Nothobranchius furzeri: one gene and its partners. The main gene of each other region encodes a partner of the protein of the gene in region 4 in a complex. Links are inferred from orthologs where the notes say so. Each region holds a gene or a part of one and is shown on either strand. Other genes may lie near its edges. The genes, in order: tars1, eukaryotic translation initiation factor 4E-binding protein 1, gigyf2, eif4e2 and gigyf1a.

The links.
Region 1: the proteins of eif4e2 (region 4) and tars1 are in contact, whole or in part, in a crystal structure (PDB 5XLN), measured with the Homo sapiens proteins. The link is inferred for Nothobranchius furzeri from reciprocal best matches to the Homo sapiens genes EIF4E2 and TARS1. Residues at the interface, in NP_004837.1 of Homo sapiens: His54, Pro55, Leu56, Gln57, Val91, Glu92, Phe94, Trp95, Arg96, Glu149, Asn150, Leu153, Leu156, Gly157, Glu158, Gln159, Met161, Val203; in NP_001245366.1 of Homo sapiens: Pro51, Glu52, Tyr53, Ile54, Tyr55, Thr56, Arg57, Met60, Tyr61, Ile63, Leu64, Glu67.
Region 2: the proteins of eif4e2 (region 4) and eukaryotic translation initiation factor 4E-binding protein 1 are in contact, whole or in part, in a crystal structure (PDB 5NVN), measured with the Homo sapiens proteins. The link is inferred for Nothobranchius furzeri from reciprocal best matches to the Homo sapiens genes EIF4E2 and EIF4EBP1. Residues at the interface, in NP_004837.1 of Homo sapiens: Glu53, His54, Pro55, Leu56, Gln57, Tyr58, Tyr64, Arg66, Lys83, Gln84, Ile85, Gly86, Val91, Glu92, Gln93, Trp95, Arg96, Phe97, Ser99, His100, Met101, Val102, Leu107, Phe113, Glu149, Asn150, Leu153, Gly157, Glu158, Gln159; in NP_004086.1 of Homo sapiens: Arg51, Ile52, Ile53, Tyr54, Asp55, Arg56, Phe58, Leu59, Met60, Cys62, Arg63, Ser65, Val67, Thr68, Lys69, Thr70, Pro71, Pro72, Asp74, Leu75, Pro76, Ile78, Pro79, Gly80, Val81, Thr82, Ser83.
Region 3: the proteins of eif4e2 (region 4) and gigyf2 are in contact, whole or in part, in a crystal structure (PDB 5NVM), measured with the Homo sapiens proteins. The link is inferred for Nothobranchius furzeri from reciprocal best matches to the Homo sapiens genes EIF4E2 and GIGYF2. Residues at the interface, in NP_004837.1 of Homo sapiens: His54, Pro55, Leu56, Gln57, Tyr64, Arg66, Asn81, Lys83, Gln84, Ile85, Gly86, Thr87, Val91, Glu92, Phe94, Trp95, Arg96, Phe97, Ser99, His100, Met101, Val102, Leu107, Phe113, Glu149, Asn150, Leu153, Leu156, Gly157, Glu158; in NP_001096616.1 of Homo sapiens: Leu38, Ala39, Asp40, Tyr41, Arg42, Tyr43, Gly44, Arg45, Met48, Leu49, Leu51, Phe52, Leu53, Asn56, Lys57, Ile58, Pro59, Asp61, Leu62, Asp64, Glu66, Phe67, Pro69, Ile70, Leu71, Gln72.
Region 5: the proteins of eif4e2 (region 4) and gigyf1a are in contact, whole or in part, in a crystal structure (PDB 5NVK), measured with the Homo sapiens proteins. The link is inferred for Nothobranchius furzeri from reciprocal best matches to the Homo sapiens genes EIF4E2 and GIGYF1. Residues at the interface, in NP_004837.1 of Homo sapiens: His54, Pro55, Leu56, Gln57, Tyr64, Lys83, Gln84, Ile85, Gly86, Val91, Glu92, Trp95, Arg96, Phe97, Tyr98, Ser99, His100, Met101, Val102, Arg103, Leu107, Phe113, Ile137, Arg138, Leu139, Arg140, Gly142, Leu143, Ser145, Arg146; in NP_001362694.1 of Homo sapiens: Leu36, Ala37, Asp38, Tyr39, Arg40, Tyr41, Gly42, Arg43, Met46, Leu47, Leu49, Tyr50, Glu53, Asn54, Lys55, Val56, Pro57, Glu59, Leu60, Glu64, Phe65, Ala67, Val68, Leu69, Gln70, Asp71, Glu72, Pro73, Leu74, Gln75.

What each region holds. Positions count from the first base shown.
Region 1 is NC_091757.1:57,099,432-57,102,942, reverse strand, and holds part of tars1 (threonine--tRNA ligase 1, cytoplasmic), read right to left. Parts: intron 2,411-3,511; coding exon 2,287-2,410; intron 2,068-2,286; coding exon 1,943-2,067; intron 1,130-1,942; coding exon 1,012-1,129; intron 938-1,011; coding exon 873-937; intron 791-872; coding exon 712-790; intron 558-711; coding exon 411-557; intron 1-410. UniProt on the Homo sapiens protein: Catalyzes the attachment of threonine to tRNA(Thr) in a two-step reaction: threonine is first activated by ATP to form Thr-AMP and then transferred to the acceptor end of tRNA(Thr).
Region 2 is NC_091757.1:46,259,642-46,263,634, forward strand, and holds the start of eukaryotic translation initiation factor 4E-binding protein 1, read right to left. Parts: upstream 2,808-3,993; 5' UTR 2,486-2,807; coding exon 2,350-2,485; intron 1-2,349. UniProt on the Homo sapiens protein: Repressor of translation initiation that regulates EIF4E activity by preventing its assembly into the eIF4F complex: hypophosphorylated form competes with EIF4G1/EIF4G3 and strongly binds to EIF4E, leading to repress translation.
Region 3 is NC_091751.1:53,327,333-53,330,843, reverse strand, and holds part of gigyf2 (GRB10-interacting GYF protein 2), read right to left. Parts: intron 3,134-3,511; coding exon 3,010-3,133; intron 2,916-3,009; coding exon 2,875-2,915; intron 2,770-2,874; coding exon 2,734-2,769; intron 2,576-2,733; coding exon 2,399-2,575; intron 1,811-2,398; coding exon 1,599-1,810; intron 1,502-1,598; coding exon 1,354-1,501; intron 1-1,353. UniProt on the Homo sapiens protein: Key component of the 4EHP-GYF2 complex, a multiprotein complex that acts as a repressor of translation initiation. In the 4EHP-GYF2 complex, acts as a factor that bridges EIF4E2 to ZFP36/TTP, linking translation repression with mRNA decay.
Region 4 is NC_091751.1:56,212,936-56,217,166, reverse strand, and holds the start of eif4e2 (eukaryotic translation initiation factor 4E type 2), read left to right. Parts: upstream 1-1,421; 5' UTR 1,422-1,540; coding exon 1,541-1,560; intron 1,561-2,263; coding exon 2,264-2,375; intron 2,376-2,453; coding exon 2,454-2,588; intron 2,589-2,666; coding exon 2,667-2,771; intron 2,772-2,862; coding exon 2,863-3,015; intron 3,016-3,098; coding exon 3,099-3,235; coding exon of another isoform or gene 3,236-3,239; intron 3,240-4,231. UniProt on the Homo sapiens protein: Recognizes and binds the 7-methylguanosine-containing mRNA cap during an early step in the initiation. Acts as a repressor of translation initiation.
Region 5 is NC_091742.1:83,853,525-83,857,620, reverse strand, and holds the start of gigyf1a (GRB10-interacting GYF protein 1), read left to right. Parts: upstream 1-1,295; 5' UTR 1,296-1,570; intron 1,571-1,585; exon of another isoform or gene 1,586-4,096. UniProt on the Homo sapiens protein: May act cooperatively with GRB10 to regulate tyrosine kinase receptor signaling. May increase IGF1 receptor phosphorylation under IGF1 stimulation as well as phosphorylation of IRS1 and SHC1.

The DNA of each region.
Region 1 (3,511 bases), on a different chromosome or scaffold from region 4:
CCTTGAATTACTTCTTTAAAAGCCACGTATTGATTTGAGCTACTTAATATGTGCGTTAATCAGCTACAAACCGTTTACTTTCACTTAACAAACCATTATGAATGGCTTATTATGATGAAACTCTTAATTTATGGCCTGTTAATGTTAGAATTACAGCATTAGTAATAAGCACCTAATAATAGCTTAATAATGACCAATTCTAACTTAGTAGTCCACTAATATGCATATTAATTGGCAGCTAATTAATGGTTAATTTGTGTTGCCTAAACTAAAGTATTACCCATAATGCATTTATTCTGCAAGTATTAAAAATGCACCTTAGCTCAGAAAACACCAACATACCATAAATGACTCACAGGTGCAAACCCTGCGGGTGGCTGCTTTAAACCTGTCTACATCTCAGCTCCTACCCGGCCCAGTTTGCGGTGATCTCTGTTCTTGGCCTCCTCCTGAAACTTCTCCCACTCTTTGAGCATTTTAGGGTCGGGGAAGGAGATGCCGTAGATCCTCTGGAGGGTTTCCATGTCTGCCTTTCCCTCCCAGTAGGTCGACGAGTTCTAGCGCAGCGCAGAGGAAAAACAACTTTTCATTGTTCTTTAAAGTCCATCAAATCCTCTGAGATTAGAACACAAGAGTGAATCTGCTGCCTGCAAACGTGGGAACAAACTGAGTGCGTGCAGCAACAACGTGCACAGCGAAGCGCACGCTAACCTTGTGGATTTTAAGTGACTTGATCTTTCCGGTGTGTCTCACATGAGGCCCCCGGCACAAATCAATTAAGGGACCGCATCTGAAAAGACAAAATGTCTGAGAGTTTGTTGGATGAAGATGAAACAAGCGAGCAGCTGTTGTTTTTCCTGCCTCGGACTCACCTGTAAACCGTGGTCGTCGGGGTGGTGACTTTCTCCTTCAGAATGCGGCACTTAAACTTGTTGTACTGAAACGGGTAAATCAATCATTACATTTTACTGCGATTATCTTTAGTTATCACTCATACGTGTTTAATAATACCTTGAACATCTCCAGCAGAGTTTCCTTCTTTATTTCCAGCCTTTCGAACGGCTGCTTCTCTTTGATGATTTTTTTGCACAAGTTCTCCAGATAGGGAAAGTCGTTGCTCGATACGCCGCTGTCCCACACAAGAAGAGGTAATAATAATAGTAACGGTACGTGCAGCATAGCTTTTTCAGTTAAAAACATTTTCTCCACCTCTTAGTAAGTTCTGCCTCCGTCTCCAAAGAGCTTCACGCCCATGACCTTTAACTTAATCGCCAAGAAAGGTCAGACAGTTGAAGTCGTTGGCTTTAGGGCTTAAGCAATGCCAAAATATCCTTGCTACAACAGTCCCTAGGAACGCCATTAGCATAAAACAACTTCATTATGTAGGCTGTAGAATAAAAGAGACAGCACTGCCCAAGCTCTCAAAGCTGGAACAAAGGTGTGAAAAAAAATCCAAGGAAACATTCGTTACCAGTCGGGATGTAAGAAAATACGCTGAAATATCACAATATCTCCTATTATGATACGGATTTGATATTTAAAAGCAGTGTGTCGATTTGGAGAATTTAAATGCAAACATATACGTATTTCTTTTTGTGAGGTGTAATTCAACGTCTCACTGCTAGGTGGCAGCAGTTTTTACCACCTTCATTCTGACAGGACAAGATCTGGCGATATCCTCTCCCCTGGTTTGTGATTTATGTCGCATCGCCAGATCTTTGCCAATAAACACCCTGTGTCACCAATATACCATAAAAAATGAACATTTTAAGTCCACACCTGTGAGAAGATCCACCTGGAGGCCAATGGTTTTATAACGTTCGGTTATTTTTTAGTTCATATTATGGAGCAATGTAAAAGAACCTGTTAGACGCCTGTTACGCCCAAAAGCACGCCCAAGGAATGAAAACGTGTGGATCAACCCACAGTCTTTGAAACTCACTCATTGTTTTCTAGAAACATGTCGTAGTAGAAGCCACTCTCGATTGGAGGACCGTAGCACAGGCAGCCTCCGTACACCTTCTCCATCGCTTCACCAAGAATATGAGCACTGGAGTGCCAGTAAACCTAAAGAAAACACAAACGCATCATTAAGTCGAACAATCTAGGATTTTCTTAGCATTGGTGCTTCTAATTAATAACCCAACAATGGTTTAAGCCTAATGTTGTATTACATCAATGTTTTATTCATTTGATGAAAAACAAAAAGGCGGTATGGTTTTGATCCTCATTCACCCAACAATATTTCCTAAACCTAAAGTGTGATAAAAAACGAGATGAACTTACAGCTTGAGCCTCCTCATCATCAAACTTGAGCAACTGAAGGCTACAGTCGTCTTCCAAAGGTCTGTCCAGGTCCCACACACTGTTGTTTACTTTGGCAATCACCGTGTTGTCAGCAAGGCCTTGACTGCACAAGAAATACGACAAACTACACATCAGAAAAATATCACACCTCTCCTTACGTGTCTTAAACACTGGAACACCACAGGGCTGTGTGTTCAGTCCCCAACTGTACTTCCTGTTCACCCATGACTGTGTTGCTAGTCATGCTACGAATTCAATCATCCAATATGCAGATGACACATCCATCTTAGGCCCCATCTTGTACAATAATGAGTCAACCTATAAAGACGAGGTGAAGGCCCTGAGTAACTGATGACTGGACAACAACTTAAATCTCAATGTCGGATAAGAGATAATTGTGAACTGGTGGAGAACACCAGACCATTTGCATCACTGGGGCGAAGTCGAAAGGGTCAGACGTCCTAAGAAATTCAGACTAAACATGACTGAGGACCTCATGTGGACCCGACCACATAAACAAGATGAAGAAAGTGCATCAGCCACACAACTTACTTCCTTTTTTAATAATTATCTTACTTAGAAACACATTTCATTGTAATTTTGACTTAGTTAACTTATTTATAACAAATACTTAAAGTCAGTATTAGAAGATCACCAATAAACCATTTTAACATCAGCTAAAATGGCTGCTCCACTTACTATTGGATGTATCAGAGATACGGGTTCATGTTTATATTTACACACTAATGAATAGACTAAGAAACTTTCAAGCCGATTAGAAAATTTAGACCCATTTAACTTAATAACTTGTTTGCGTTATGATAAAGAAATGTGGTCAGGATGGTAGACTGAGGGATGTTTTCATTGGCCAGGTTTATGGGCTGCTTAAGCTGAACATTTTCAGCATGATTCCAGAAATAAAACTCAGAATTTATCATGATTTTATAAACACGCCAGACCCCAAAAAATCTTATGTGACTGACATTAATAATAAATGCTCTATTGACAATTCTCTCCCATAATATCAGAGTAACACGAACAATACTAATGCAATGCTTCACCAAGATTTAATAAACTAATGAGATTTTTTTTTGTCTTGTGCATGACGATTTAATAAATTATTTCCTTTAATGAACAGTCAAAGGTTGGCGGGTGACATTTGCAGTCACTGGTTTTAATAACACTGACGCTGTGAACCCTTTAG
Region 2 (3,993 bases), on a different chromosome or scaffold from region 4:
TTATGTCTGTGTTATTAACGTAAATCTGAAATAAATAAATAACAGGTCTGTTTTAATTAGGGATGCACCGATACCGATACTGGCATCGGTACCGATACCAGTATCGGTATCAGTGAAAGTTAACCGATACCAGGAACCGATACCAATGCAGTTGCTTGAAAATGGCTTCACTGTAACTTGTCATTTCTGTTCACCTAATATTTTAGTTTTGTGATGATTTCCATTCATATATTTTACTTTTTATTTACCTCACAGTCTTTTCCTGTTGAAAGCAGAGAAGAAAATAAAATCTGTATTCCATATCATTGCATTTTTTTGTGTGGTGGAAGTATCGGTATCAGTAATCGGCAGCGGCAAGTACCCAGATCCAAGTATCGGTATCGTATCGGTTTGGAAAAAAGAGGTATCGGTGCATCCCTAGTTTTAATCACAATGTCAGTTAAACAATGAAGCCTCTTTGGCAAAGCAGTAACAGCTCTGACCTCATTAAACTCTTAAAATAAACAATCTGTCAGATTTAAAAAAAAATCTAGTTTTGTTGGATTTATTCAGGGGCTGATCTACTGGGGTGGCAACTGCCTCCCTAAAGGAAAGTTTTGCCACCTCAGAAGAAGGCAGCAATAATTCATGAAATAGTTGTGGCAAATCAGACATTATGAATGTGAAAGTAGCATGTCCGATTACACCGATCATGACACAAGCTGATAAAATAATGACCTGAAATAAAAAAAACATATATGGTTATGTAAATACTGATGAATTAACAGGGAAAGAAATGTGTTTGAGTGAATAATAAAACTAAAGTTTAGTACCTTGTTGCAGTGAAACATTGTGTTGGTGGTGGCACAAAATGCCAGCCCACTCCAGAGTGGCTGTGGCTACATCGTAGCTTACCATCCCCGGCAGTGTGAACGTGAGAGTGTGAACAATATAACCTTCTGAGTGGCCTAGTGGTAAGAGTGTCCGCACTGGAACTGGGAGATCGTGGTTCATCGGGTTATCCCAAAGACTTTAACTCATTCACTGCCAGCCATTTCCTGATCGCTGAAGACCTTCACTGCCAGCATTTCTCGCCATTTTTACTGTTTTTTAAGAGTCACAGAACGTTGCGCGCTAGGATGATGTCGACGCCAAAACAACCAAAACAAAGAGGAGACTCACCTCTTAGATCAGGAAGAATCCGCGTGTTTCAAGCGTTATCCATTCTTTCATAATTCGTTGTCGAATTGTGATCGGCAGACGCTTTTCCGGTTCGCGCCTCATGTTTTTTTTTTTAAAGGAACAACCCAAACCGATCTCCTAACACATGGATTTTCTGCTTCCTGGTCATGTGACCTGTGACGTATGCGGATGAAGATCAGCTTCAGAGCTGAGACGTTTGCTTCTCGGCGCGGGGACTCGTTCCAATGCCCACACAGTAAAAAAATTCCAATGACGACTATTGGCAGTGAATGAGTTAAAAATGGGACCCAATGCCTCCCTGCTAGACACTCATCTTTAACCACCAAATAGTTCCCGAGTGCAGCCACTGCTACAGCTCACCGTTCCCCATGAGGATGGGTCAAATACGGAGATGTCATTTCACCAGCGTGTGATGATGACTAATGGGACTTTAATGGAATGCGCTTTGAGTTCCAAGAAAAGCACTGTATAAATCCAATCCATTATTGTTATTATTATTTCTTTCCATATAGTGCATCTATGCTGACCTTGGTACAGCTCAGTGCATAGGAATTCACAGACACATTTTTAATGGATAGTTTAGTTCAAAAGCTTTTGTGTGCCCAAAGAGTATAGTAATTTATGCTCCATTTTACCATCCTCAAAATTTTGCCCCCTTCTGCCACCCCGTACATGTTTTTCTAGGCCCACCACTGGATTTTTTTCTTTTGCTGCATCTGATCCCAAATTCCAGTCCAGTAGGTGGTCGTAATGGGCTTTTAAACTGGTTAGGTCACCGCCAATAAACTCAAGAGCACCGATTTGATCACGTGACTCAGATCCCAGTGACAAGATGTACAGAAGTCAAAGTAAAACCCTAAAAACGATTTTCACTTAATTGAAAATTAGTTATTGTGTTGCAAAATTACATTTACAAAACGACATTGGTCATATGCCTCAAAGCCACTTTTTAGTTTTTCACTATTCTGTTTTTTCAATGATCGCTAGTTAGCGTTAGCGGTTAGCTTCAGTATAGCTAGCTATCAGATGACAGCAGCCAAGCCGACCTCATGGAGTTAGCATGAACACACGCAACAACGCTGCTGTTAAATGGATTCAGGTCTCGTGCCACTGACCTTTTGACCAAGCACACAAACGTTAATGTGGAGTTAAAAACACACAACGTACCGCCCGGTGTGGTGCTAAAAAGGGTCCCCCCGGGAGTAGTGGAGTAGTCGTGTGGCATGTGGTCCGCTTCGTTGACGGCCACTGTCCTGGTGGACGGGATGGCCTTGGCATTTGTCTTCTGAAAGTCTGTGGACATCTTCTCTCAACTAAAAAATTAAAAGTAACTAACTGGATGACATGAAACAAGAAGAACGTCTGGGTTTGACAGAACAAAGCCAGAGGAGTGTTAGATTTGGCTCAGCAGCAGAACGGTCGCCTTCTGATGAATAAAAATAAATATCTAGATTTCATGAGTGCAAACTATGGCGATTAAAGTTAGCCACATTAACACACGCGCTCTCACTCAAAACGGGTCGAGGATGTTTGGTGAAAAAGGACCTCAGCAGCACCCGTTTCTCTGTTTCCACATGCACACAAAACAACACACAGACATACGCAGGCAGACCATCAAGGCATACAGACAGGCTGCTGCAGCCCTGTAGGGAGAACGCTGTTCGGTGCAAACTAAACGAATTTATTCCGCCATCTACTGGTGCATACTAGGCTACAGAGATTAAAATAATAATAATAATTATTATTATTATTTTTAAAAAACTATGTATTTATTTTCACCTCATTCTATTTGAAAATTTTCTTAAATACAAAATCTGCAGACACTGTTCCAGATTTTCACCTTTTAAGGAACGTTATATTGCGTTATTATGCTTTCAACAAGAAGATTGCCTTATTCTAGTCCGCCTCCGAAATGATTTTAAATCATGTCAAGTTGACAGATGATTTATTTAAAAGGAGCAAAATCAGTAAGTAAATCCTGCTGTCATCTTCTGCTCAAATATAATTATTGAATTTATTCAGGTGTGTGTGTGTGTGTGTGTTTCTTCGGCATTTTAATGTATTTTCAATACAATTTGCTTTTAAAAGCCCTTACATAATTGTTTTATTTATTCTGACCACATTCCTAGCTCTGAGATGTTAGATCTATAACTTCACAAGTTTTAATAACACAAAGAGAAGCTTTTAAATCAGATTCAGATTTCATGAATTTCTTTGAATTCATGTTTCTTTTTTGCAGCACGTCTATAACAGACTTCCCCCAAAGCTTGATGCATCTCCTGGCAGGATGGTTAAACGAGCGAAGATCTACTCACTGTGTCAGTCAGGAAAAAACACACTTCAAAGTCAAGAAACGTCATTTAAAGACATGAAAAAAATTACACGCAATACGCAAAGATGTTTCATTTCTTTATTAATTTTTGTAAATGTTGAGCTGGTGTACAGAGTAAATTGTCAACAGATGCCCTCAGATTTTGATTGGATTAAAAGGTTTTCACATGTATATTTTATGTTTGACTCTCCATGACAATAAAAAAGCAAACAAAATAAGTTAAAACACCCACAAAACCCCTATTTATCCCCAGGTTGCAGGCATTACCCAAACTTAAAAGTCTCTTAGTAGCTACAGCTGTATGATGCAAAAAGGACATCCATAACATAACAGGAATCCCAGTTGACAGGGGTGCATAGCATTCTAAGTAAATATATATATTTGTATGTTTCATATATATAGCCATTTTTATATTAAAAACTTTTTGTGCATGTGCGCAGTTGCATTCCTTAGTATCGAGTAATATGCTATTAATAATG
Region 3 (3,511 bases), about 2.9 Mb from region 4:
TGACTTTAAGTATCTGCTGATAACAGAGACCTGATCCAACACTTTTCAGCAAAGCATTAAAGTAAGAAGACAGAAGGATTCTCAGATACTCCTGTTTGGGGACGGAGGAGTCAGCCGGAGGAGAAAGAAGCTTCAAACAAAGTCTTATTTCCTGATATTCGGACATCTCGCCTCTGATTGGATAACAGCAACACGACTCCACCACTGACTCAGTTTGCTCTGCAACACCGATATTTTATCTCCACAAATAACACAAGGAGTTCTGTCGTGTGGTGGAGTTGCTAATGCTAACAGTTAGCTTCTGCTAGTCGAGATGTTCTCTGCCGTTTCCTGGACGCAACATCAACAGCCTTCCCGTCACGAGCCAAATGGGTATGAATGTGTGTGTGAATCACTGATTGTGTTGTAAAGCGCCTTGGGGGGCTCTAGAAGGAGCTACGTCAAATACAGGCCAAATGGATGAGTCCGTGAATGTTAACAGACATTGTGTCGTACATCTGCACCGAGAACTTTTCCAGGCTATTTTCACGTGATTGGATCATCTCTCATTTCACCACTTTTACACAAAAACACATTGTTTATGTTTATTACCAGGGTTTCAAAACACATCAAGGCTGTTTTAAAAACAATTATTTCCTTTTTAGCTATTAACATAAACCTAAATGAAAAAATTGATTCTACCCAACAGAGAAAAAAGTATTTATAGCGACTTTCCAACCAACAAAAAAGATGACTAAACTCTACTATGTTGCCTTCATAACAGCTTATTGTTTGTGTTCACTTGGCCTTTACTGACACTCCCTCATTCCTCTCTTGCCCCTTTGGCTCTCTGAGCTACCGGCAATTTTTATTTGCAAGCACAAACTATCAAACAACGCCTGAGCGCAGAGATTATGATGGGATTAAAATTTGTCGTCAGCAGGTAATCTCATCGTTTCAAATAGGCCGTTTTAAATGTTAACATCCAAGCAGCTTTTGAGGTAAAAACACAGAAAATGTGTCACCTTCTTTATGTGATGCAACAACCAGGGTAAAAAACTTGTTTCCCAACTTAAACAGAAACACCATGAAGGTCAAAAAGTGACTCAAATTACTCAGGAGACGCAGCGGTGAATCAGACTAGCTTAGATGATTTTTCATATAGATTATACATTTATTCTGCAACAATTCCTGTTAAAATAAAGTGTGAATGATCAGGAACATGTTTTACTATTAAACTTGTCTATTGTATCTTTTTACTTCCTTGGAATTATTTTGAAAACTGGGTTTAGTTTGAATTTGACCTTTAAATGATCTAATACCAACATATTTATCAATAAGAGAATCAAAAGTCAGATTATCAACACTACTGACCTTTTCTGTCTGCTTCCCTTTTGGCTTCTTTTTCTGATTCTTTGGTTTCCCTGGTCGGGGTATCCAGCTCCTCCAGGCCTTCGTCACACTCCTCCAAGGGTCTGAAGTCGAGCTCTGCTTCTTCTGGAATCGGTTCCTTTGAGGCTTTCTGATTACAAAATGACAATGTGGGGGGGGGGGGGGGACTATTGTCATAAACTTCTCAGTAATCTTTAAATAATCATTTGAGGAAAGTATCTGATTACCTTATGAGAGAGAAAGGCTCCAGAAGAGTCAAATGTGCCTGCCTCTTCATCTGCATCCTCTAGACACCACTCGGGTAAGCTGTCCCTCTCGTCATCCAAGCTGCCGCTGCCAGACCTCTGCCTTCTGTAGCCGCGCTCGTCTTCTCTTGCATCAAACGGAAAATGTCGACGCTGCTCCGGAAGTTCCCGCCAGCCTGCTGACCGAGGCCCATCTGGGGAAAAATGCCACATAAAAGGAAAACTAAAACAAAATCCCACATGTTCACTCCAGACAACGGGAGAAATAACACACATGTAAACACAATCATCTGAATGTTTGTTCTGCATTTTGCATGAATGTAAATCTTGTTGCAGTGCGTTCTGTTCCAGGAAAAGCTGCTGTAATCCAGGCACATAAATCTAAGGCAAAAGCCTCCATTAGATTCCGTTAGCTCAGTTAGCTCTTAGCTTCATCAGCTCAGAGTTTGTTGGGTGTCAACCACCTGCCCCCACCCCCACAGCCTCGACCCTAGCTCCATTATTATATTACCCTGGAGCGATGAGACACGTGATGCAGCCAAGATGGCGGTTGTGGGAACTGCCCACTGGGCTTTAATTCAGCTCTTCATAAAGCTACGAGTGACGGCGGAGGACTGGTCTATCTAACATTTAGTCTTTGGGCTGAACAAAAAAGCACCTTTAGGCCAAACGGGAAGCACGACAAAGACAAGAGATAACACACCCTTTCACTTATCAAAACTTATTATTTCGACAAGATGAATGTATGGGTAATGCTTTTGTCTTTCATTTTTAGCGCCCACCTGGGCTCGGGGGGCACCACCGGTCGTTCTCCCATTGAGAACCCAGCAGGCGCCAGCCCCCCTCATCACCCTCACCGTTCTGATCGTCTCGAGTAGTACGCCAGTTTTCACTCTCTGAACGCGTAAAGTCGTGCTTCCTTGGGAGTCCTGTCCCTCCGTCCTCATATGGGCCTCGAACTGTAAAAACACCACATTAGAACACCAGGTGATGGAGTGGGGGGTGCCGTTAGGATGAGAAACCCCAGGGAATTAACATTTTAACATCTATATGATGTAAATGATGGCATGATTTGGCTAAGAACCCAGAACTTTCAGAGGAATGCTTTTTAACTCACTGTGATTGATCTGAAAATGCCCCGGAGCAACATCAGCTACAACGACAGAGAAGAGCAAACAGGTGAGCTGGCCAACTTGCCCAAAAAAATGTTTGAGTATTGATTTTTTTTTCTGTTTTCACAACAAAATGTGACACCAACCTGGGTCCTTTCGACCTGGCTTTTCAAATCGTCGGTCCCCCCTAATAAATGGGGAAAAAAAAGAAACGTTTAGTCTTGACTAAAAATATATAGAAGAGATATGTGCAATATCAGGAAAAGATCTGGATTTATCACATTTTTTCATTCCAATACCGTTCCTCCCAGCTTTGAGAACGGTGCATTTCCCTTCCTCCGCGACCAAAACCTTCAACGTCATCAAAACTTCTTTGGTAAAACCCTCCGTCTCCTCTTCCCCGCCCTGAAATCAAAAGATGAAATACATCAAATGATAAAATTCAAAAGTTTGGATAAAAGCTGAATCCTGATACTGTACCAGCCTAATCCTTATTTATTTTGAATAAAAAAAGAGCTGAATCATCCTTCGACGAAGGATGATTCACGAAGTTCGTGAAGGTGCAATGCAACTGAGGGGACCCACCGAGCCACCATGCATATAAAACGGTGCAAAATATATGAAAGGTGCATAAAAAAAATGCACACAGTCTGTTTATAAATGAAATGGAATTTTAAGCTGTTAAAAACAATAGTCGTCTCTTATGGCACACGCCTTCCTCTGGTGCTGATATGGTTTGGAAAAATGTTGACAAAAATTGTTTGTGCTCTACGTTTTGCTGTA
Region 4 (4,231 bases):
TGGGCTGAGCTGCTAATGAAGTATGACAGGACCGACTGGTGTAAACAAACAGCGGCCACTGAAGAATACCGCCACTGCTCTTTCTCATTCACTCACTGGTGCGACTGCCGGCCCAGAACAAAGAGTCCTCTCATGAAGGTCCTCACAGAAACACAGGGAGCAAGGGGTGAGGGTATGGTCTGCAACTGCGGAGCCAACCAAACCACGCCATGCCATACCATCCTAGAGCATCCTGTTCACCACCACACCATCCCCCCACCCACACATACATAATGCGTCTTATGAAGTTTGCAGTGTTGTTTCTAGACACAAGCCGGTATTTTGGTTATTTACCCACAAATCGGCTCGCATCTATAACAAAAACTGATCCAACTTGCATCAATAGAAGTCCACTTTGTTCCCATCTCACCCTCCACCTCCTCTGTGGTCCCCCAGACTTTGTCCAGAGCTCTGCTTGGACCTGAACAGAGCCACGGTTTGAAGTCGCCGCAAGAACAGAGGGCAAGCGAAGGGATGAAACAAGTACTGCGGCACATCAGAGGATGTGAGTTCAAACAAAGAGGCCGTCGGTTCTCTGTGTTGCGGCTGCACATGTGCTGTTGTGTGTATGTGGGTGTCTGCTCGTAGCCGTCCATATCCGTGAGCTGAAGTCACCAGGTTCCTAGTCACTCAAGCCGGGAGGAGCAGATTTTGACAAAGCTGTAAAAAAGTGATCCGAGTGGTACTTTTTCTTATTTATTATGCTTGAAAATATCAACATGTGGTGAATAAAATGTTCAAACGTAACTTGGATTTGATGTTGTGTTTCTGCACCAGGGTCACAGCTGTGCAAACGTTTTCAGCTACAACTGTCTTACACTTCAGAGGAGCCAGGTGTTTTGTAAAGTTATACATCTGATTAGTTATTTTTAAACTTTGGCTGAATTTTCACTCACTTTTAGTTTACTCTGCATATTGTGCTTCTTCCTGAAAAACAGGAAAATGGTAATGAAAAAGACTAATGATCACATTTAAGAAGTTACTTAAATAGAACATGTAATATATTTTTTCAAGGATGTAAAAGTTGCAAAGCTCTGTTACAGAAGGACATGAGAGATGGATCATCTATGACAATTTTACATAATCTGTCAATTCTGTTCATGCTAAAAGTCATTTTATGTGTGAACTGTTTTGGGGAGATATTTTTATAGTTTTACCTAAATAAATAGGATTACACGAACGTCATATGACTTGTTGCAATTGAGACTCATTTACTGGTTCATCCCTTGAGTTTGGAAATATTTAATTACTGAATAGTTCAGTGATGAGTGCCAAGGTCCAAGAACACACTTTAGGAAAACCGACTAATCTCATTCAAGCCACTTAAAATATAACTTTTGGACAACACTACATTTGACAGCAGCGCGTGCCACCTGCTGACTTCTTTTCCGATTCCGACTCATCACTGCGTGCGCGTTCATGTGTGTAAGATGTGCGTCGCCGTTCCTGCGGAACTCAGGAGGCAGAATTTGGACTCCGACAGACTCCTGACTAAAAAATAATGAACAACAAATTTGACGCGTGAGTTAAGGCTTTATATTTGATTATGTGGCATCGCACGACCTTCCCGTTGTTTTAAACAACTCAGAGAAAGCTAGAACGTTAATGAAAGCTGAATTGTGCGTTAAATGAGAGGTGTGTCAGGTTTATAGCATGGTAGTTCGATATGCCGTTGGCTGAGGTGGACAACTTACGTTCACTTTAGCGAGTGGATTTTTCATAAAATATAGTGATATTTTAAATAAGTAAAGGTTTTGATACAAATAATTGTCTTGTGAGTGTGTGTGCTTTTAGCTTAGCATGTCTGAAAGCGGGTAGGCCGCTAATCCCCGGTGTGTGAGTAGTTGGGACGCCGGAGGAGGTGCACACAGAATCGACTAGAACCAGATTCCCACGGCCTTCATCACGAGCACAGACGGGAGCAAATTCTGACTTTTTACTGCTAAAAGTGATGATACCGGTGCTGTTTTTGTGTGATTCTTAATTGGGGTTAATTTAAAATAAATAAATAAAATTTCAAGATTTAAGACGTAAAGTTTTTTAAATAGCGTTGTTTTGACGTGGGTCTTTGAGGCCAGCTGGTTAGTTTTGATCCTTTTTTTTTTTTTTTACATATTTAGATATTATCATTTATCATGATAATCTAGAGTTAACTGCACTTGGCTTTACATTAAAGTGTCTTCTGACAGACGTATGAATATCTGATGGTTTGTGTCTAATCCAGGCTGAAAGACGATGACAGTGGAGATCATGAGCAGGATCAGGGATCACCGAAAGACAGCGAAAAGGAAAAGATCGAAGACGATGACAAGGAGCAAATTATTATCAAGAAAAAAGTATGGCTGATTACAGAGCATTGTTTCTACTGTAGATAAATATGCTCCTGTATTTACATTTGTCCATGTCCTTTACAGATGGTGGTTCCAGGGGCAGGAGAGCACCCTCTTCAGTACAACTACACCTTCTGGTACTCCAGGCGGACCCCAGGCAGACCAGCTAGCACCCAGAGCTATGAGCAGAACATCAAACAGATTGGCAGCTTTGCCTCGGTAAAGGACTTTTGTTTATACTTCAGCTTCAGCTGTTTCATGTTCACATATTTAATTTTGTGGCTTATTCTTGTCAAGGTGGAGCAGTTCTGGCGTTTCTACAGTCACATGATCAGGCCTGGTGATCTGACAGGTCATAGTGACTTCCACCTCTTCAAAGAAGGCATTAAACCCATGTGGGAAGTAGGTGTCTGTCGCAGTAATTGTATACTTTAGTAGAACGTTTTTTGTTTTCTGTGTACTAAGGCGTATTTGAAACCCCTTGCATGTTTAGGATGATGCCAATAAAATGGGTGGAAAGTGGATCATTCGTTTAAGGAAAGGCCTCGCGTCCCGATGTTGGGAGAACCTGATTCTGGCCATGCTGGGGGAGCAGTTCATGGTAGGGGAGGAGATCTGTGGGGCGGTGGTGTCGGTACGATTCCAGGTAAATCAAATAACACAATGTTGTATGTAACTGCTGGATCCCATTGCACTGAAACGTCTTTTTATGTACTTCATTTTATTCAGGAGGACATCATTTCTATCTGGAACAAAACAGCTAGTGACCAAGCGACCACAGCCCGCATCAGAGACACCCTACGTAGAGTCCTCAACCTGCCTCCCAACACCATCATGGAGTACAAGACTCACACAGACAGCATTAAGTATGTAGGTGTAGCAATTAAAACATTCTAATTACGACCAATAAGATGTGATGATTCCATATAAAAATGAAATATCAATCTGATTGATCTTTGAATATTTAATCAGAAGATTCTAGGGTCCTTTGCCTCTTTAGGGACCATGATCACACTTCGTATCAATTCAGACAGAGTCGGGTATATAGTTTATAAAATTAATTTAATTATTTTTCCTAAACTAACAATTTATACATGACAAGATATGAATAATGAGATGTGTTGTGATGGAAGCTAGATGTTGTAGCAACCATTCTTTGTATCTGAGAGAAATTGCAAAATCTGGATGTAAAATAATTAGTTGTTTGGTTATAACTAGAGTTCAATTCAATTCAAAAATACTTTATTATTCCCAGAGGGAAATTGATTTCTGTAGTAGCTCAGAATAATAATAATAATCAAGTCATCAAAGAGTATATCACAATGGCTGTTGGCAGGAAGGATCTCCAGTAGCGGTCAGTATTGCAGCGAAGCTGAAGAAGCCTCTGACTGAAGACACCCTTCCGTTGTCTGACAGTCTTGTGAAGAGAATGCTCAGGGTTGTCCATAATTTTCTTGATTCTCTGGAGAATCCTTCTTTGCATTATCTCCTCCAGCGGTTCCACAGTCATCGCCAGAACAGAACCAGCCTTTTTTATTAGGCTGTTGAGCCTTTTCAGGTCCCTGCTTCTGATGCTACTACCCCAACAGATGATGGCTGAAGAGATTACACTCTCAACAACAGACTTGTAGAAGATCTGTAGCATCTTGCTACAGACATTGAAGCATCCTCAAGAAGTGCAGTCTGCTGTGTCCCTTCTTGTAAACAGCTTGGTTGTTCTTTCTCCAGTCCAGTCTGTTGTCCAGGTGAACTCCAAGGTATTTGTGTTCCTCAACTACCTCCACTTCTTCTCCCATGATGGAAACAGTGTTTGACTCCACCCTGTTTCTTCTGAAGTCTAAAATCATCTCCTTTGTTTTGTT
Region 5 (4,096 bases), on a different chromosome or scaffold from region 4:
TGCAAAACATATGCATCCTTAAAGCTGGAGCTACTGAAGAACTAGAAGACTGTCCATTGGAAAATGTAGGTCATATATGAATAAAAAATAACTCAATTACACAATAAAGGTTTTTCTATACAGCCTATCCTGTATGTGTGTTTCTCTCCATCTAGTGAAACGCAGCTGCAGTCAGACACAGACAGTATAAGCAGCAGAGGAGCAGAGTGGATCTATTGGCTGGTTACTGAACTTATCTGATCCAACAGTTTGTGCAGCCACACGTCTCCTAGATTGGTTATAGTAATGGAAAAACTTCTAAAACCTTAATATATCTCCCAGTGGTTGCTAGGGTTTGCATAAGGGCTCTACTGTGGGTCACAGAATAGGAGGTTTTACATTTAAGATAATATCCTGAAAAGAGAGTTTCTTGATGCATATTTTTCACCAAAATTGATGTAAAATCTAAAGAAATTGCATAATTAGGGTTAGGATATTAGGGCTGTAAACATTCACAAAAAGTAAAAATGCTTGAGATTTATGTTTTATTTTTAAAAATTAAATCTCTAACATTTAATTTTGGGGATCAAAGTCTAAATCATCTGGGCAACACAGGACATGTTAGGTATTTCCAGTGATGTGGATGAAAACTGTTCATAATGTTTATATACTTCAATTTCAGTATTTGTTCTTATTACTTGTGGACTTCACTGACATAATTTTTTTTCTTAAATAAGTTTTTAAAAATCACCTTTTTTTGACTGTATAGCATGATATTAAAAATGCAAACGATTGGATCCTGCACAAGGTTCGAGCTGCACAAGGGTCTTATAATAGTCATTTTCTTTTTCACATTCACTTTTAGAAAATAAAAGTCACAACATTTTACAATAAATTAGGGTTGAATGCATTATGCTTTTACTTCATTTTAAACCATTACTTTTTGCATTATTATTTTACTGCCAAACTGCGCTCTCTTGTGTACAAAGAGTGGATCACACTGCACATGCACAGTTCGGTGAGCTGTAAAACTTGCAGAAACCTCATAAATTATTAAAATATTATATTGTTTATTACAGTCGTGACGCTTCTTGGTAAAATAGTTTGTTATTACAAAAATACATTTGTTAATTATGTTTATTCCAGTGTTCCAAAACTGTCTCAGGAGCGTGTTTATTATAAAGCAACGCGGCCCCACTTTATTGCACGCGCTCATTAAACTGGCTAATTAAGCCACGTCGAGCTAAAACGGAACAGGAGAGTCCTCGCTGGTAAAAATAGGGGTGTGTTTGCTCTGCTCCTGCATTGGTTGCCCGCTTGGCAATGCGCGGTCACGTGGTATCACAAGGACGGCCATGTTTCCGAAACACAAACAACAAGAAGAGAAGGAGCGACTCGGAGCAGCAGACACACATTGATACGCAGCAGCGACCGTTGGAGGAGAAGAGTGAGCGCGAGAGGAAACCTAATAACCACACCGCAGATTTTCCTGAAAGTACTATTCTGTCGAATGAATACGTTTACAGTGTTTAAAGAGACCAATGCATACCATATATTGGCTGTAGGCACGCCGTGCGGACATAAACACAAGGTAAGCGAGCAAGGGTTCCTCTTTGCAGCTGGCTAGCGTACGAGCTAACATGCTAATCTCGGCTCGTTTAGCTCGATTCGTCCACGGTGAAAAAAAAACAACGGTTAAATAACCGTTTTACAACTAAAAACTACACCAATTTATGGATTTACTCGTCTTGTTCCAAATGCATTAAACTAAAGTATTTCATAGTGAGGACAGCCGCGGTGGTGGTAGTCCGCTCAACGGTGGAGCAGGCCGGGGAGTCTCCTTCCCAACCATCCGCCCCCTCCGCCATCATATCTGGTGTCACTTGAACCATCACGCCAAGGCCTTAGCGATCCAGCGCATACCTGAGTGCTAGTTTAGGTGGTAAACCGTGTCTGTTGAGCAACTGAATCATGTTTACAGACGCCTCTAACAGTTAGCTGTACGCCTACTACGGAGAAATCTGCTGCTATTAGCTTATAACAGCAACAGTAGCGCAAATGTAGCTTGTTAGCTTCCACTTAAGCTTTTCAGTGTTTTTCAGTTTTAGGTTGTTCTCGGTGAAAGCTGCTTGTAGCCGAGGTTCATTTAAAGAATATAAAGGGTTTTAGCAGATAACATGTGCAGTGTGTTCACTCTGCTTGATGACCTTGCTTTAGCTTTATTGTTAAACTTTTTATCTCTGATATGAGTTGACCTCAATGTGGTGAATGGGTTTTATGGTTGTGTGTTTAAAATTTGGTTTGCAGCTTTAAAAGCTGGATTTTATTGTAATGTTTCTGCTTTAAATCATGATAATTTGTTATTTAATTTGCTACCGTTAAGCACTTAGCAAATACCAATTTTCACAAGTGGACAATTATTTTTTTATGTGTCTGGTATTAATGGGGTTTGATTCATTTTAAGCTTGTTTTACTATCATGTTCTTTATCATATTTTGTACTCTGTATTGGGTCTTTTGACCTTTCCCACACATTTATTACAAATAACATCACATCCAAAGTTGTTACATGAGGACACCTCACAGATTTGGTTGCAGAAAGCTGGTGTGGATCTCCTTCAAATTTAAGTCACTCTGGTCACGTAAATATTAACCAGCTTTTAAATCCGTATTTGGTTATTTAAACTATTTTTAGAGGATTTCTTTCATATATATAAGCAATATTTAAAACTTAATTTTGTATTTTTACTGAATAAATAATAAATAAATCACAAAAAATTGCTACTTCCACGTAACGAGGGAATTATTTTTGTTTGGAAAAGTCCCAAAGAAGACAGTTTGTCTTTATTAACACTATTAAACACTAGGAATAATATAAGGGTAGAACAAGTTCTGAATCTTTTTGTATTAGTCTCGTAGGATTTAAAGCTTCTTTCCGGAGTATTTCTCTTATCCGATGGCACCATCTAGTGGCTGACAAGCACATCACACAAAAACTCTGTTCCTCTTTGTTTTTTTTAAAGATGGCGGCTTCACGTTTCTGTTTATAAATGTGTTTCTGTAGCCGACAAGCAGAGCTAAACACGTTGTTTTACGAGTATCATTCTCATGTCATGTTGTGTTCTCATACATTTATATTTTAGAGACGTAATTGTCCGTGAAAAGTTCATCAACTCAAAAAATTTAAAGGACGTATTGCTTACATTATATCACAGTACATGATAAGACAATCACTTTCACGGATTTCTGACAAATCATACATAATTTCTGAAAGGGGGAAAACTCCGGAAAGCAGCTTTAAGGTCAGAATTAGCTGGAAATTATGATTTGAAATGGTTGAATGAAGCCGCAGGGGTGGACATTAACTTCAAAACCAACCGGCCAGCCGGGCCGGTAACTCTGAATATTTACCGGCCCTGCCAAGAATCTACCGGCCCCACTGGTCAGCCGCCAAAACGAGTCAAAATAACAACTGAACCGTTTTAAATGTAACAAACCTTTATTTTGTACACATTCACAAACATAATAACGTATTCAAGTTTGAATTTGTTTGTTCCCTCAACAAAACACGATTTTGTCGTCGCATACTTCTGGCATACAACGCAGTACATCACCAACGCCGCTTTGCTGTATTCAAGCCATTGACTGTGTTCGAGATGAGCCAGTTCTGCGCAGAGTAGACCAGCAGTGATCGGCGAGCGGTGCATGCCGGTTAGATTTGTGTCCGAATTGACCTGACTTGCTCTGACGTCATGCATACGTAGGCATCGATAACCTCGTGAGATCAAGGCGGTCGCAGATTTTGGAGCAAGGCGCTGCAGTTGCTCTCTACCGGCTGCAAAACCTAGAGGATGATGGGAAACGCCTGGCTCTCACCTGATCTAAGATCTGATTGGTTCACATTTTGATCCAAACATCCGGTGGTAGAACATGAAATGTTAGTTGTTCACATGTATTATGTAAATCATGTTATGTTGATGATGACAACTATATAGGCCATAAGGAGAAATGTGTTTTGTGTTCTTTTGTCACGTTTCCTATGAGCACACTGAACAGCTGATAACCTTTACTTATTATTACAGTCATGTTTTCATATAGAATATATGATATCCACAAGC